Mytilus edulis: one gene and its partner. The protein of the gene in region 2 interacts with the protein of the main gene of each other region in a pairwise test. Links are inferred from orthologs where the notes say so. Each region holds a gene or a part of one and is shown on either strand. Other genes may lie near its edges.

Region 1 (8,652 bases), on a different chromosome or scaffold from region 2:
GCTCTGGTCATTATTTCTTACAATAAATTAAAATACATTGTAATTAAGCATGATCTGTGTCTGAGCAAATCCTTTGAAGTGATATAGAGAAGCTGTGATAACACCCTTTAGTTATTAAAAGGCATATTTTTTTCTGTGATAACATATAAGTATACATATAGACAAAAGCAATATCAATAGAACTTTTACATAGTTTAATGAAACTAATGATGTATATTGTCCCTTTGAAACATGTAACATACATATGTTATCACAGTTCTTTGATTTTTTAGTCTACAATAAAAAATGTATGTTATTTTCCTGTAATAACCCTATAGAGTTATATCCCTGACTGATGTTTGTTCGAAATCCTAGAGCCATTTCTTCTTTTAATTTTTTTTTCTCAGAAAGTTAAAAGTCAGACACCTCCCAAATTCAATCTTTATCCAATGTTTGGTAATAAGCATTTTGTAAAATATTTATTCAAGGCAAACTACAGTGATATTGTTGTCTTTTTTCAAAACTACCTCTACCGTTTTTTACTGGGAAAAATGCATATTTTTTATTGAAATTGGGAAATTTGTATATTTTATTCTCAACACATCTCCGATTTTTTGCTGACCTTTGCTGTCTTTTTGGCACTGTTTTTTCATGTATATTTTGGCTGTCAGACATTTTCAACCTGAAAGGTACTTTCGGAGAGGGGAAAGAAACAGAAGCAATGATGGTACTTAATGCATTGAAAACTACATGTGTTACAAACACCATGATGATTCTGATCAGAAAACCGGATTTCAAACGTGCTTTCTAATAGCAAAATAATAACATGAATACGATATTTACCAACATTACTACCAATGCCATCACTGTTTGGAGAAAATGTAAAAGTTTTGATGAGGAATTTTAAGCCATTTTTTTTTTGTAATTGGGAATTTTCTCATGGGGAAAAGGCCGAATTTCGGCTGTAATTTGAGGCAAACAATATCACTGAACTAAAGTTAGTGAACTGGGAATAAATATTTTATTGCACCACAGGTAAATTATGATATTGTGATTGTTTTAAGGCCATCGCATGGTAACCCCTTATGGCCATCACATGGTAACCCCTTATGGCCATCACATGGTAACCCCTTATGGATCCATAGGGTTTAAGGCCATCACATGGTAACCCCTTATGGATCCATATGGGACAATACATGTATCACTAAATTGATGTGCCTCCGATTGAAGAACACAAAAGTTGTTTGTAAATTTACAAAAAATCTCTGTGTAGTGATATTGGACATGTTTCAATTTTTAACAAATGACTGAGCTTGACCATTTGTGTTGATCTGTAAAGTATAGGACCTTAGAATAAATGTGTAAAAACTATGGAGTTATTATTATATATGTATTCAAAGTATTAAATTTTCAGCATGTTCAGACATTGTGTGAAAAAAGGGACTTTTTACTATGAAGAGTCGCTTCACGAAAGGATTGTCAGGGTATGCTAATTTACCGAAAAATGAATCACTCTTCATACCCCAAAAATTTATCCACACATGTGAAAATGTCTCAGCTTCGAAACAAGCCATCATGGAAGCAGGACAAGTCGCCCCACTGGCAAGTCGCCCCACACCTAATCGCCCCACTTTTTCACCAACTCGCCCCACTTTGAAAAAAACCGCCCCAACCTGGATCACCAACTCGCCCCACTTTTAAAAAAATCGCCCCACATGTGAAATTGGTTAAATCATGTTTAATATTACTCCTGCCAACTCGCCCCACTTAATGGAAAACGGTAATATTTAGATTAATATAAAATTAAAAATAAAAACTCGCCCCACTTAAATGAAAACTAATCTACACAGAATACAAACAAACCGAAAAAAGCCAACACACATTTCAGTTTAATTATTTTATTCGTAAGCGGGGCTAGTTGGTAGCCTTTAACTCTATTCATACATGTACTATTCATAAGTGGGGCTAGTTGACATTCACGTTACCGAAATATTAACTCACTTCTTACTGCTATATTAAAAAAAAAAGGAATAATATAAGAAGTTTCTATAAGGTTTTCAATGGGATAACATCCGTTTCCATAAGTGGGGCGAGTTGGCCGGAGTAATATTCACGGAATTTAAGTTATATACAACGGGATAACATCTGTAAGGCGAGTTGGCTTTACTAAATTCATCCTGGTTAATAATATGTTAATCTAGATTTTATCGTTTTCCATTCAGTGGGGCGAGTTTTCAGGAGTAATATTAACGGGATTTAACACATTTCACAAGTGGGGCGATTTTTTAAAAAGTGGGGCGATTTGGTAATCCAGGTTGGGGCGTTTTTTTTAAAGTGGGGCGAGTTGGTGAAAAAGTGGGGCGATTAGGTGTGGGGCGACTTGCCAGTGGGGCGACTTGTCATGGATTCAGCCATCATATACAAGTTTACGATATTGGCTGAGCTAGAGAAGAAGACGTTACCATTACGGCCTGTGGAGAAACAATTGCGCATATTGCCCCATATACATGTACAAGATGTATGGGATTAATAAATTTAATATGGGATTAATAAATTTAATATGGGATTCAAGGCATGTAATCTAATGTTAATTGTATTTCATTGTTGTTGTTTTTAAACACAGCATATATATTTTAAAGTACAGTGTTTGATAAGTTCTATATAAAGTTCACTACTGACCCTCTACAGACAAAAGAGTGTGGGTAAAATCCCCACTTCTATGGAGTTTACTTACCCTCTTAAGACTCTATGGATCCATGGGCATGGGCTGCAGTTATCAGCATGGTCAGTAGCAAACATGTAACTTATACAATGTAATGTCATCACTCAGAGAAAATTTATTTTTGTATCGGACAAAATGGTAAAATAAAAAAATTGAAGCTACAATTCAAAAATTTTATCAACTACATGTTTTGGGCTCGGACAAAATTTCTGAATCGACGTCGAAGTAAGGGACGACATCAAAAGTGAATTAAGTTTTTTATCCTTCATTGAACTTTTGAGGTCGTCCCTAACATGCCTAAGGCGTCAAAGAAAAAAAACTAGAACTATGCTTGGACTTTGAACTTTAAAAAAACGACAAGAGTCAACGAAGAGGGAGGTTTTCAGGGCTTTTAAAACATTAATAAAACGTAGATTTATTCAAACAATTTATCTTGTCTTCGTATGTAACTGACAACACATAACTGTGTCAAACATAAGTGTGGGAAAGAAAAATAGTAACCTTTCTATTTGTTTCGTCTGTCATGATTTAAACTGGATCTTTTAAATTCTACAGACACAAAATGTCACATATTTTGAACCAGGAACCAGATCTGTAATAAACTACCTAAAACCCTGTATTAATTTTGGGAAAATTTAATACATTGATTTTGATCCCGATGTAGGTGTAGATCTTTAATCCTGTTCTTATAAGACTAATGAAATTAATTATTTAACGAAGGTTACTTATTTAACAATGACATGTTGATCTTCTCTGAGGCCTTCGAAAATCATAAATACAAATAGAAAAAAAAGAAAGATACAAACAAAATAAAATACATGTAATACCGTACGTTTAACTATATACAGATGTATATAACAGCTTAAATATCGATTAACCCATATGCTTTCAATAATTTAAAAAAAAAACGAAAAAAAAAAACAGATTCAGCGGCATGCACTTTTCACAAAAAAATTCTTAAGAGTAAAAATACATACTCATTATAGCATAACTTGCTTGCAACTCAAACTTAAAAAAAAAGGTTTTAATTGTAAGATTATTTGTGAGAGTTGCTGGTTTATTTATTCTGTATAGTTGAAAAAAAAGTTTGAACATTTAATCCTAAATGAATATAAATTATTTATTTCTTAAATTATATCTATAAAGTTATTCTCAATCCTTGTACTCAGACTAGCATATTTAATTGTTCTCGGTTTAAGAAAAAAAAAAAACGAATTAGGTCTTGATACACGAACATGATGAAGAAGCCTTAATTAGTTTAAACAGTATCTAATACTGAAAAATACAACAGCAAAGTATAGCAATCTTACATAAAATTCAAATATAGGATTCAGTAAGAAGTTTGGAGAAAGCTTTTATTAACCAGCCTCCCTATGCTACTTGAGCGAATACTGATTATAAAGATCAGTATATATATGTTGCACTTTATAAATACAGCTGTTTCTCAAATCACTCCTCTTTTGGGAATATATAAACATTCATAGTTTTTTTTCACGTACTGGTTCCCAGATATGATGTCTATATGTTTCATCTTGTAGAAAAATAACTTGGGAATGTTACCAGTAGATACACAAATGCATAACCGTCAAATTGAAATCTGTGGTCCACCGGAAGTCAAGTATAGGAGTAGCACAAACTTTTAGTGTAAAGTTAAACTCTTAGAAGTTCAGGGCATATATACACGTTGAAAATATGCCGCACAGCCCTATAGTTTGACCTTTGAAAAAATAGTAGTGCATATAAACCTTTATCCTATGATATTATTTTTATCAAAAATTCATAGTTAAAGTGGAACAGTCTTAGCCGTAAACGGAGTTCCTAAGGGAAATTACATAGTAAAAGTGGAACAGTCTTAGCCGTAAACGGAGTTCCTAAGGGAAATTACATAGTAAAAGTGGAACAGTCTTAGCCGTAAACGGAGTTCCTAAGGGAAATTACATAGTTAATATTTACAGAAATGCAACCTATAAGCAGTAAATTTATCAGATAGATAATCACTATTACTGAACTAGTATATATATTTGTTTAGAGGCCAGCCGAAGGTCGCCTCCGGGTGCGGGAATTTCTCGCTGCATTGAAGACCTGTTGGTGACCTCCTGCTGTTGTCTGTTTTATGGTCGGGTTGTTGTGTCTTTGACACATTCCCCATTTCCATTCTCAATTTTCATGTCCTAAGTCAGGAACCTGATATTCAGTAGTTGTCGTTTGTTGATGGGGTTCATAAGTGTTTCCCGTTTTTTTAATAGATTAAACTGTTGGTTTTCCCGTCTGTATAGTTTTAAACTTGTCATTTCTATGCCCTTTATAGCTTGTTGTTCGGTGTGATCCTAGGCTCCTTGTTGGAGACCATACTTTGACCTATATGTGTTTTTTTTCTATTACAAGTTGGGACTTGGTTGGAGAGATGTCTCATTACCACTCAGTCATACCACATCTTCATATATTTATTTAAACACTAAGAAAGCTTGCAAATGTTGTATCTTAGGCTAGCAAATATAGTCATCCACACAAGTTTTATTATAAAAGATTAAACTTAACTAAGTTTGAAGAAGAAAAAAATGACGAAGAAAAAAATTGTAAATTGCTTTCATATAGCAGCCCTAAAATAAAATCGATGTAAAGAATTTAACATAAATACACAAAATTTTAAACAATAAAAAATACCACTCAACTAAGAAGTAGCAATAAAAAGAATAAGCTGACGTTAATTTAGATTTTTTTAGGAAACGAAGGCTGCACCGCAGTGTTGTTATGCACTAGAAGTAAAACTTCAATTGGTATTAATTGTTCAAATCTAAACCATGTAAACGAAGAAACAACACGACAACTTTTCTAGATAGTTTGGCTACCCCTGATTTCTTCTTCAATTTACTCTTTGCTTTATAAAAAACACAACGTCACAGTGAACTCGTTTACTACGTTTGACTGTGTCCCGTGCCAACAACGTTAGAAACAGACAACACAACAGGACAGAGAAAGCAGCCATGTAATGTAGGTGTAGAGCGAGAGACAAGACACAAACACAATGTTCTATACTGTGTAGAGCGACAGACAAGACACAAACACAATGTTCTGTACTCTGGACAATGTTCTTATTCCTGATCTCTATCAAATTAAAAAGGAATTTGATCTGTAAGTACATTGTATTACATCATTGTTAGCTTTTATGACCCGATTAGTTGTTTATACATGTACTGTGATAAAAGTAGATCCAGAAAAGACTTTCGGTCATACAAAATAAATAGAGTGTAATTGCCATGTGTAACCTTTCTATAAAACTTACACAATGTTTTGTATGCTTCTATTAGCCTAATAATGTAATAATGTAAGCTTTGAATTTTGGAAAAATTAGTTTCTTTATAATGTGAAAAAAATATAAACGGACAATTTTAGAAAGGTTTGTTATCAATCATGTCAGTACATGAGGACATATCTTATATAAAAGGATAACCGTAAAAAGATTTTTACTCCTGTTTAGTACTCAGGGTTTTCAATAAGTTTTGAAATAACTGATTGAAGTTGATATGTAGCAGAGCAAGCGCGGGGTCCGGGTGCCGCTCAGGCCCCCGGCCAGGTCGAAGGCGAAGCCACGTGGAGGTTTCAGGGGGGCAACGTCCCCCGGAAGCTCATGGGTTTTAAGGAATAGGTGATAGATCAAATTAATCCAAAATAACTTGTAATGTTGGCATTTTTTTCAATGGTGTAGCTTTGGTGAGTTATAAGAAAGCATAAAAAAGTTTCGAAAATGTGTAGTACAAGGACTAAATCATAAATTTCAATCCTCTTGGTTCAGTGTCTTTTCCTGCAAGACACTGACTGTGTCTGTCACAAGAAAAAATATTATTATATTTCATGAATAAGTATTATAATTTATCATAGGCTGCACCCATACATCATACCATATTTGCATTTTGACTAAGATGTTTTTTATGTGTAACAGTATAAAAATTTACATTCTAATTAATATTTTTATGAGAATCAATGAGAAATACATGGCTTATCTCCACTGACAATAAAAAAATCTACTCTTGTATTTTGAGGGATAAAAGTTACATGTATCATGCTTAACACTTTGGTATTTTCAATAAGTAAAGTTCTTTGTAGTTTAAGTTACTTAGTAATTTTTCTCATTGTCCCTGTATTGAGTAATTAAATACAAATATAATTATATCAATCTGATTTATTTGATTCAATTAAAACATGTTGTTATATATCATTTTCATTTTGTTCATCATCATCCTCATCTCCACCATCAATGTCAAAGTCAAGATACATTTTTTTTATTGCAGCCTGCACTACAAGCCTTACCTCCTCTATGTCACTTAAACTTGAAAGAGCAACAGGCTCTGTCTGTACTGACATGTCTTGTACTTCAGTTATATTTGGAATAGGATTTTGTTGGTTTATTATTCTACAATTTTGTTTAACTGCAAGTTTCCTCCTGTTTTTAGTTCCTATTGGATTTTTTTAGACTGTCCATATCAGGGCCATTTATACAAACATGCATACAGGATTGGATCATTTATAAGATAATCGAATTCTAAGTCTCTACATTTTTTTCTTTTTTATTTAAAAAAAGAAGGACCATGGAACAGGTATACATATGATTTATGGTAAAAGTAATTAGTCTGCTTTTAAGAGGCTTTATCACTTAAAAACAAGAAAATGAAAATCACTCAATGAAAATAATGTGATGTCTGCTTTTTACGAGACAAGACATTGCCAAGAAGGCCAATAAACCAAAAAAGATGTACATTCAATATATGTAGAAAAAAAACGATGAAGATCAGAGAAATGACAACTATTGGCGAAATTCCCGAGTTTGTATAAATGACTAACTTATATGCAGCTATATATATTGGGTATAACTAATGAAAGATCTGAGGCCAATGAGATAGAAACCCAATGAAAAAAAGAAACAAAAGTCACCTCAAAGTTCGTATACATTCTGAAGTACACGGAGTCGTTTTTCGTACAAACATTTGACTAAATACATAAATTATCACTCACATTATTTCAGCATTGATATAATAGAATGGTATACTCGACTTCTATTAGAACATGTAACACAACCTCGTCATCTTCGTGGTCTTCCCTTGTCATTGTTTGTGTTGAAAGATATGTCTGGTATGAAGAAACGGCTGAGAGAATCACGTATGTAAAATAGTATTTTTCGTGCATGTAAATAGTTTTTATATTCTTAGAAAACTAATTTACTCTAATAACTATTTAGCATTCAATCATTAAGGGCACATTCTCTATCCGCCACTTGTTTATAAGATATAAAAGAAAGGCGAAAGATAGGGACATTCAAACTATCTTCCTATATTATAAGTTGAAAATAAACTGACAACCACATGGGTAGAAAAGGAAAAAGACAGACAAACAGTAGTACACAAACCCAACATTGTAACCATAAAAACAGAGCAATACGAACGCCCGAAAATATGAAAGTGATCGAAGGTACCCCGGAACAATGGTTGTCTCAATTGTCTTGTTTCATATTTTTCATGTCGAGGCTTTTTATAGCTTGTTAAACGGTATGTTTTTTCCTCATTGTTGAAGGCCGTATGGTTGCCAGCATACCATTTATGTTTATGTGAAGTAGCATTATCTGTTCATTCCAGGAATTCCTGAGATTATAGATATTATTTCCTGTTTAAGTGACGTAGCATGCTCTGTTCATTCTAGGAATTCCTGAGATTATAGATGTTATTTCCTGTTTATGTGACGTAGCATGCTCTGTTCATTCCAGGAATTCCTGAGACTATAGATATTATCTCCTGTTTAAGTGACGTGACATGCTCTTTTCATTCTAGGAATTCCTGAGATTATAGGTATTATCTCCTGTTTATGTGACGTAGCATGCTCTGTTTATTCTAGGATTTCCTGAGATTATAGACATTATTTCCTGTTTATGTGACGTGAAATGCTCTGTTCATTGTAGGAAT
Region 2 (7,598 bases):
ATTCAAATTTCTAATGGAGTTTGCAACAACAATAACTACTCATTTAAATACATCATAAAATATCAAAATATAAAATGTCATTCAGTCATGGTTAAAATTAAAGTCATAAGAAACGAGTGACTGGTGAAAAATAATGTTCATCCAATTCTTGAACCAATGCATGTATAAATCATAAACTTAGTTCTCTGTGCACGAATTTATCATTTTTTACGCAAATATATCGTATAATCTGTCTGTTATGATTTAACAAATATGGCTACTCATTAAATGCCGTGTTTTGAAGCCGAAGTTTACCGATTGTCACCTTATAGTAAATAATCAACAAAAAGCATGGGTATTTAGCACGTGTTTAACATATACAATCAGGTAATTGTTAATTTTAATGACGGATTCATGCGTATTGCTATCACCGGATTTTTACGAGGAGGGTCAAGCTTAGGTCACTATGCATACGGAAAATATGTCGGCGAATTGCTTCCTGCCCTGGCAGCAAGCAATTACAAATATGTAAACTTCTTCTAAATGTGGACAAATTAAAGAATTTTCCTCAGAAAAAAGTATATGTACATAAGTTGTATAATGAAAACTATCCATTTAGTTTTAAAAAACATATGCATATTTTTTTTTAATTTGAGGTTTCATATGACTTTAATATTAATCAATAGTAACTTCTTAAAAAAATAAATGGGGAATGTGTCCAAATGGACACAGATGATGCCCCTGCTAGCATATACATGTTTGTAATGTTATAAAGGGAAATAACTCAAGAACTGTAAAAGTGAAACTGCCAAAAATTGAACTTAAACTGAGTTTAGAGGTAATAAGCATTAGATACCCATTTTATTAAATTTAGTTGAGACAAACTTAAGTTAAGAGAACAGAAACTAAATAATTCTTCAATTTTTCCATTTGTAAAGGGGCATAACCCTAGAATGGTAATCAAAGTGCTTGTAATCACTGCTTTAATTTATCAGTTGGTAGTAAAGTGAATAATGCATTGTATATTGTATATAGCAACTACTATTCTGAACAAAGAAAGATAACTCCAATTTTCAAAGAAGATTTCATAAAGCATTACATTTTAGTTTTAGGTGATTCAACAACCATTCTGGACAAAGAAAGACAACTCCAATTTATAGTCTTGAAACTAAAAAAATGCTTGTTTTTTCTTACGACTGTTTTCCCCATAACCCACAAAATATATCCCAACCTTCTATGTATGGTATTAAACATTGTGGTACAATTTCACATTGTGGTACAATTTCAGAACAATTGAAATACTTATACACAACTGTTTGTACTGACAATAGATAAATGCTTGTTTTAGGCCCCTTTGGGTCCCTAATTCCTTAACCTTAGGGACCATAACCCCCAAAATCAATCCCAAGCTACCTTTTGTGGTTATAAACATTGTGTTAAAATTTTACTGATTTCTATTAGCGTATACTAGTTATTAACCGGAAACCATTCGTTTTCGAACGACGCTGACGACTATGACGTGATACCAATATACGTCTGCAAAAATTTTCGGTCGTATAAAAAAGTTGATTGTAATTTCATGTTGGTCAAAACAATAGTAAGGGTAAATTCAATGTCAGTCTGGTCAAGTTTACTTACTCTTAAAATCATTTATTTAGTTTAATTTTCTTTTCTTATACATGTATTCATTATAAATAAAATGTTATTATAACCCTTGGTACCAAATCTGCAGTAACCCTTCCAAAAATGGAGACATTTTAGCATTTTTCATATTTGACAGGACAATCGTTAGGCCAAAACTAAAAAGTTTCACAGGTTGGGGATGGTCCTCATAAATGGGCACTATTACTAGTTATGGTTATTATATCCAAAATCAGGTATCGATCTTTATGCAGTGATAAAAAATTTTTTTTTTAATATTTTATCATAATGATGATCATGGTGCAAACATTCTTATAAATTCCATCATTAAAATTGGGATATAATGTACAGTACAACCTGTGTTATCCGACACACTGAGGGACCAGAAAATAATGTCTGATTAAGCAGGGTGTCGGAATACTCAGGTTTTTTCTACAATGATAGGCATATTATGGGACCATGAAAATGTGTCGATTAAAGCAGGATGTTGGAATACTCAGGTGTTGGATAAGGCAGGTTACATTTTATATGTTTTGAGGTATAATACCAATAAATGTCTAGAAAGGCTATTATATTTGACTTAAAGCTGTTAGGCTCTAAATTAAGACATCATAAATATATTTGGACTAGATTAAACCCAGAACTCGTTAATTATTCCTGCCTCTTCTGTCGCTGTGCCTACATAGGTTAACCTACATGTTCATGTCCAAGAACAAAATTGAAGTTCCTTTTTTTTTTAATAATTATTCAGTTTATTGCACAATTGGTTGTTTACAAACCCCTAAAAGGTACAACTATCTCAAATAGGTTTATCCCTGTGTGTGAATTATCAAATGAACCAGGGGATTCACAAGATAAACTTGAAGTTCCTACCTTGTTGCTGAAGGCCTAGGAATATATCATCAAAGTAACAAATTAATGAGAATGGAATCTTCCACAACCCACAGATTGTATATAGTCTATACAAGAGGGTAGTTATTCCCTTTACCGTCAGGGGTTGAATTGATTAAAATATTAACCTGATTCGTCAGAGGTTTATTTTACCAGCATTTTTGGAAACGTGATGCGTTAAAATCAGTAGATTTTTTTATCGTCTAAAAGAAAGTGTACATTTTATCATCATGAACCAAAAATTACCGTTAACTTCATTTGGCAAGAATTTTTACCATTATTCATTATGAAGGTATCTACATTACAACCCTAATTTCTGGCCTAAACAAATCCTTGGTCTTGCACAACACTCAACAGAAGGGCGGAGGCTGAGTAATTCTAAATTGTAATTTTTAAGTTTTAAAGGAAAAACAATAATGGGATCATAAACATCACAATGTCAGAATATTTAACATGTTAAATGTATAGAAGAAGAAGATGATATACGAAAATGTTTGTGACTCGATTGATAGATAAGAGTTGTTTTTCGGTCAAAATGTAGGATGCAAGATTGTACAACAAATGTTTGAAATAACAGTTAGACATGGACTTACCCTGACATATTATTTAAAGGAATACTTCCAGCATTTTGTTGATTTACACCTGCAATTTCCCAGGGTTTAGGAGGTGCTGCCATTCCCCCATGGGTTGAAACGGGTGGTTGAGATGATAATTTTGGGACTGTGAAATGTAAAAATAAGTCAATGACGGATATGAAGTGAAACAAATCCGGAAAATAAAACGATCTAAATACCAGAAAATATATATATATTATGCCAATTTTTTTTTCGATTCAGACAAATACGTTCAAATTAATTTATTTTACTTTAAGAGTCCCTATAATTAAGAGTTAGGGTTCATTCTTCAATCTTGGTTATGGTTAGGATAGCTGGTTAGGGAATGTTCTAGGCACAGGCACTTGTCTCAGAAATTGTTTTCCCTATAGAAGAAAAAGAAGAAGATGCTTTATTTCAATAAAATGGGCTCACAAGGAGCATAATATAATATCATTGTAATATAATATTCTTTTACAAATATAATAAACAACACATAGTTACAAACACAAATAAGAAACAACAGTTTTCGCATATTAGTATATATATAAAACCTTTGTGTCAGGCACACCTCTTGAAAGTAACTCTGTGAGTAGCCTATATACCTTGTTATATAGAGGTATATAGGGAAAACAAATTTCCTGTGGTTCTGGCAAGGAATTGTGTAAATATACAATTCCTTGTTCTAGGTTAGTGTTAGATTTTAGAGTTAGATGTGTATTAGTTTTAGGTATGGGTTAGGTACGACGTAACATAAAAGATTGCACTAAACCGATTAAAGCAGTAACATATTCAACAATAGTAAGACCTTCAGTTGAATATGCTTGCACGGTATGAGACCCTACAAAACAGGCTAAAGTAAAAACAATCGAACAAGTACAGAAAGAGCAGCCAGATTCGTAAACAACAACTACACAGACCGCACACCTGGCTGTGTAACAAAAACGGTAACATCTTTAAAATGGAAAATTAAGCTTTGAAGACCGCAGGAAACAAAATAGAATATGTATGCTGTTTAAAATTCCACATGATCTAATAGACATAGATCGGCACCAATATCTGACGCCAAACGATAGCCGGACCAGAGGTAAAAACCGCTTCTTTCAAGAAAGGGCTACAACATACTCCTTGGACCAATCCTTTCTCAGGCCTAGGACCATCAGAGACACTTGAACCAACTGCCAACATCAGCGACATCAGATGACACAGTTGAAGGAATCAGAGCTGCCCTAAAGGCATGCTCTGCTTAAATAACACAGTAATATCCTGTACATAATTTTAATTGTGTATATATGTTACAGTGAATTTGTATAATCAGGGGTTATGTAGAATCCTTAAAATTTTCAGGGATTATGAATAATCACTGGTTAGTTTAGGGATTATATATAATCACTAAAACTTTCAGGGATTATGTATAATCACTAGAAAAAACGTCAGGGATTATACAGAATAACTGAAATGATATAATGATGGAAAATTGTATGTTGGAAAAGGAAAATAAAATAAAGTAAACTTAGAGAAATAAACTAATAAATAAATAAAATGGAATTTTATTGCATTGCTTAAGCTCTAAGACAAAGTAGGTGACGTAAGGTTAAGTTATAAATAGTTTCGTCTTTTTGTAAATAATATAGTTAATCTCATTTCTAGAGTTCTTTTGATCATAGCTATTAATCTGACGTTGAGAAATAAGTTAAATAAACTGTCATCTTTTAAAAGAATAAAAATGTTTGTAATTTGCCGTAGGAAAATAAACCTAAAGTGTTTCTATTGTCCAATTAATAATTCTGTAAAGTAAGCAAAGATTTTGATAATTTTGATAATCCTTTAATTGCTTTTACGTAACTAAATACAACATATGTCAATCATATAAATCTATAACATAAAAAGAGAACAGTTGACCAATAAAACGTACCTTTAGAAAATTCAAAATTGACGCTAAAATTTCATAGGTGAATAAAATATACTGAACGACTTTAGAAACGCAACACTCATTTTGTTGATTTTTTTACCAAATCTTGTTTGATTCTCTTATTACTTCTTTTCGTGCTTATCATACTTCTTTCTCATTACAAAAAATGAAAATCTGACTTAACTGTGGTTCTTGAACTGCAAACATGAAAACATAAACGTGCTGCAACCATTCTGTATGACTTCAGAAACTCCTCTTACTGTCCTTCCGACAACGATACAAGTAGACAAGATTTGTTGCTGGCCATCAATGAACAGACCAACGAGTAGTGACAATGAAACATCAACCGAAGTTGATTTCGCAACGTCATTTGCCAGACATGTTTACGGCCGCAACGTCAAATGCTATTCAAATTGCCGAGTGACATTGAGTACAGATTCATGCCATAAATGTTTCCCATCAACTGAATTGCCAAAGAATCGACTGAAGAAAACCTTTAAAGCCATCAAGTTCCAACCGCATAACAGCCAAAACCAATAAATGGGTTGAACAAATGCAAAATCAGAAGGTGTAAATCAGTACCCAAAACATGTCAGACAGAATTTGTTGACCTTTCTGACAATCATTTTGGCGTTTGTAACAGGCAGTCATCGCTTTTGACGGTGACACATTCATTAAAAAATAACACAAAATTAATCTAGTGTTGCGTTTCTAAAGTCGGTCAGTATAATTCCAATCAGCACGTGATGTTGGGGTTAAAAAGGGAAGACCGCAACCTCCCAACATCACAATATCACACTTAAATGTAGATAACTGTTTGGAATAAATAATTGAAACATCATTGTATTTTATTCACCAGGTATGTAAATTGTTAAAGTATAAACCATTTTCAAATGAATTTTAAAGTAAGAATTTATCTTCTGATTTAATAACTTTGATATTTAAAACTTAACTTAAATTTATAAAAGATTTTCATTAATATATATAAGTTAAAACTAAGTTTACTATTTAAATCACAGATCACAATATCACACTTAAATGTAGATAACTGTTTGGAATAAATAATTGCTGAAACATCATTGTATTTTATTCACCAGCGCCAGGCCTCGAAAGTACAAGTGTCCGAGATGAGGGACACGCCAGAAGAAGGCATAACATAGACCTGAATATGAGCGAGCTAGTATTCCCCAGATTCTCCGAAAGAAGTTAGAATACCCGTATAAGCGAGCGAGGATAGTCCCCAAGTGAAAGATGGCAGTCCCTCGATTTTAATATACTTAACGTTGTGGAGGGAAAGGGGAGACAACCTGACAGAACAGCGATTCTTCCCACTTTTCCTGCATTACAATGATACTAAAATATATAACATATTGAAATATCTTAAAAGTTTACCTTAATATATCATAATAATAACCTTACTATTGTTAAACGTTAGGCATAATTTATTAATATGAAAGACACAAAAATATTGAAATGTTATACACAAAATAATCAAATGATAAGCACAATATATATATATATAATTGAATGATGAGCAAAATATATATGGAATAATTGACGACTTTATTAGTAATAATAATATCAAGCGAGCCCACACGGGCAGGTTGATGAAGTCAGTATGAAAATATTAAATTGCATAATGATTATTCTTTTTATCGTATTGTTTTAGCAATTGTTTTTAGGTTGAGAATATGAAATAATTTAAAATGAAACTGTCATTAAAACTATTTTTATGCGTACAGTTGTTTTAATAAATGTTAATGTTATGTATAATATTTTAATATTAAACATTTTATTTACAAACTAAATTTGAATGGCATCGACTATTACACATTTGCCCTGATTCTCTTCAGGCATATCTATCAAATTCACATCTGTTTTTACTACGATATCAACATTAAAAAAAAACCTTGTCCCCCAAATCAAATGATATTTTACGGCACTTCTCAGAGAAAAAGTGTTTTCAGCACAAACATCTGAAGGTACATATTGTACCAATGAAGGGTAATCAGCAACCTCAAACTGATTTCTTGTATTAAGGATCCGAGCAGGATTCCATGCTATATAGCAAGGCGATATCCTTCTTCAGCCTTTTCGTGAATATTGACCATTAGTTTTTTGGGATCTCCCTTTCCTGGAACCAAGGATTTGTATAGTAAGACTATATAAATCCTTGCTGGAACCACTAGTGTAATTGGTTTGAGATATCATCTTTGAAGCTTTTGATTATTGAGAATCCCTGAAATCATATTAGGGAATTTGTAGAATACTAATTAAAATTATCAGTGATTATCTAAAATCACTGGTCATTTTCAGGGAATCTATATAATCACTAATGTTTTTAGTGATTCTATATAATCCCTGAAAAATCAGGGATTCTACATAATCCCTGATTATACAAATTCACTGTAACATATATAGAGAGAACGTTTTAACCTGTAAATAGCCAAGAGAAAACTTTCTGTGTTGTCGACATTGCGTATAGTTTTCGCGGTACCTCATACATTCAAATATTGAATTCGGTTCCTTACCTGGAAGAAGAAGGGTAATGACATATATTTACGGTTATGTTAGCCTAAAAA

What was found.
Region 1: the proteins of peroxisomal membrane protein PEX13-like (region 2) and peroxisomal membrane protein PEX14-like interact in a two-hybrid assay, tested with the Homo sapiens proteins (2 studies listed by BioGRID and IntAct, with this or other methods). The link is inferred for Mytilus edulis from reciprocal best matches to the Homo sapiens genes PEX13 and PEX14.

Annotation. Positions count from the first base shown.
Region 1 is NC_092356.1:316,635-325,286, reverse strand, and holds the start of peroxisomal membrane protein PEX14-like, read right to left. Parts: upstream 3,315-8,652; 5' UTR 3,227-3,314; coding exon 3,203-3,226; intron 859-3,202; exon of another isoform or gene 844-858; coding exon of another isoform or gene 823-843; intron 1-822. Other genes in the region: uncharacterized protein, read left to right, coding at 5,769-5,833, 7,722-7,855. UniProt on the Homo sapiens protein: Component of the PEX13-PEX14 docking complex, a translocon channel that specifically mediates the import of peroxisomal cargo proteins bound to PEX5 receptor.
Region 2 is NC_092344.1:115,003,595-115,011,192, forward strand, and holds the start of peroxisomal membrane protein PEX13-like, read right to left. Parts: upstream 3,260-7,598; 5' UTR 3,188-3,259; coding exon 3,105-3,187; intron 1-3,104. UniProt on the Homo sapiens protein: Component of the PEX13-PEX14 docking complex, a translocon channel that specifically mediates the import of peroxisomal cargo proteins bound to PEX5 receptor.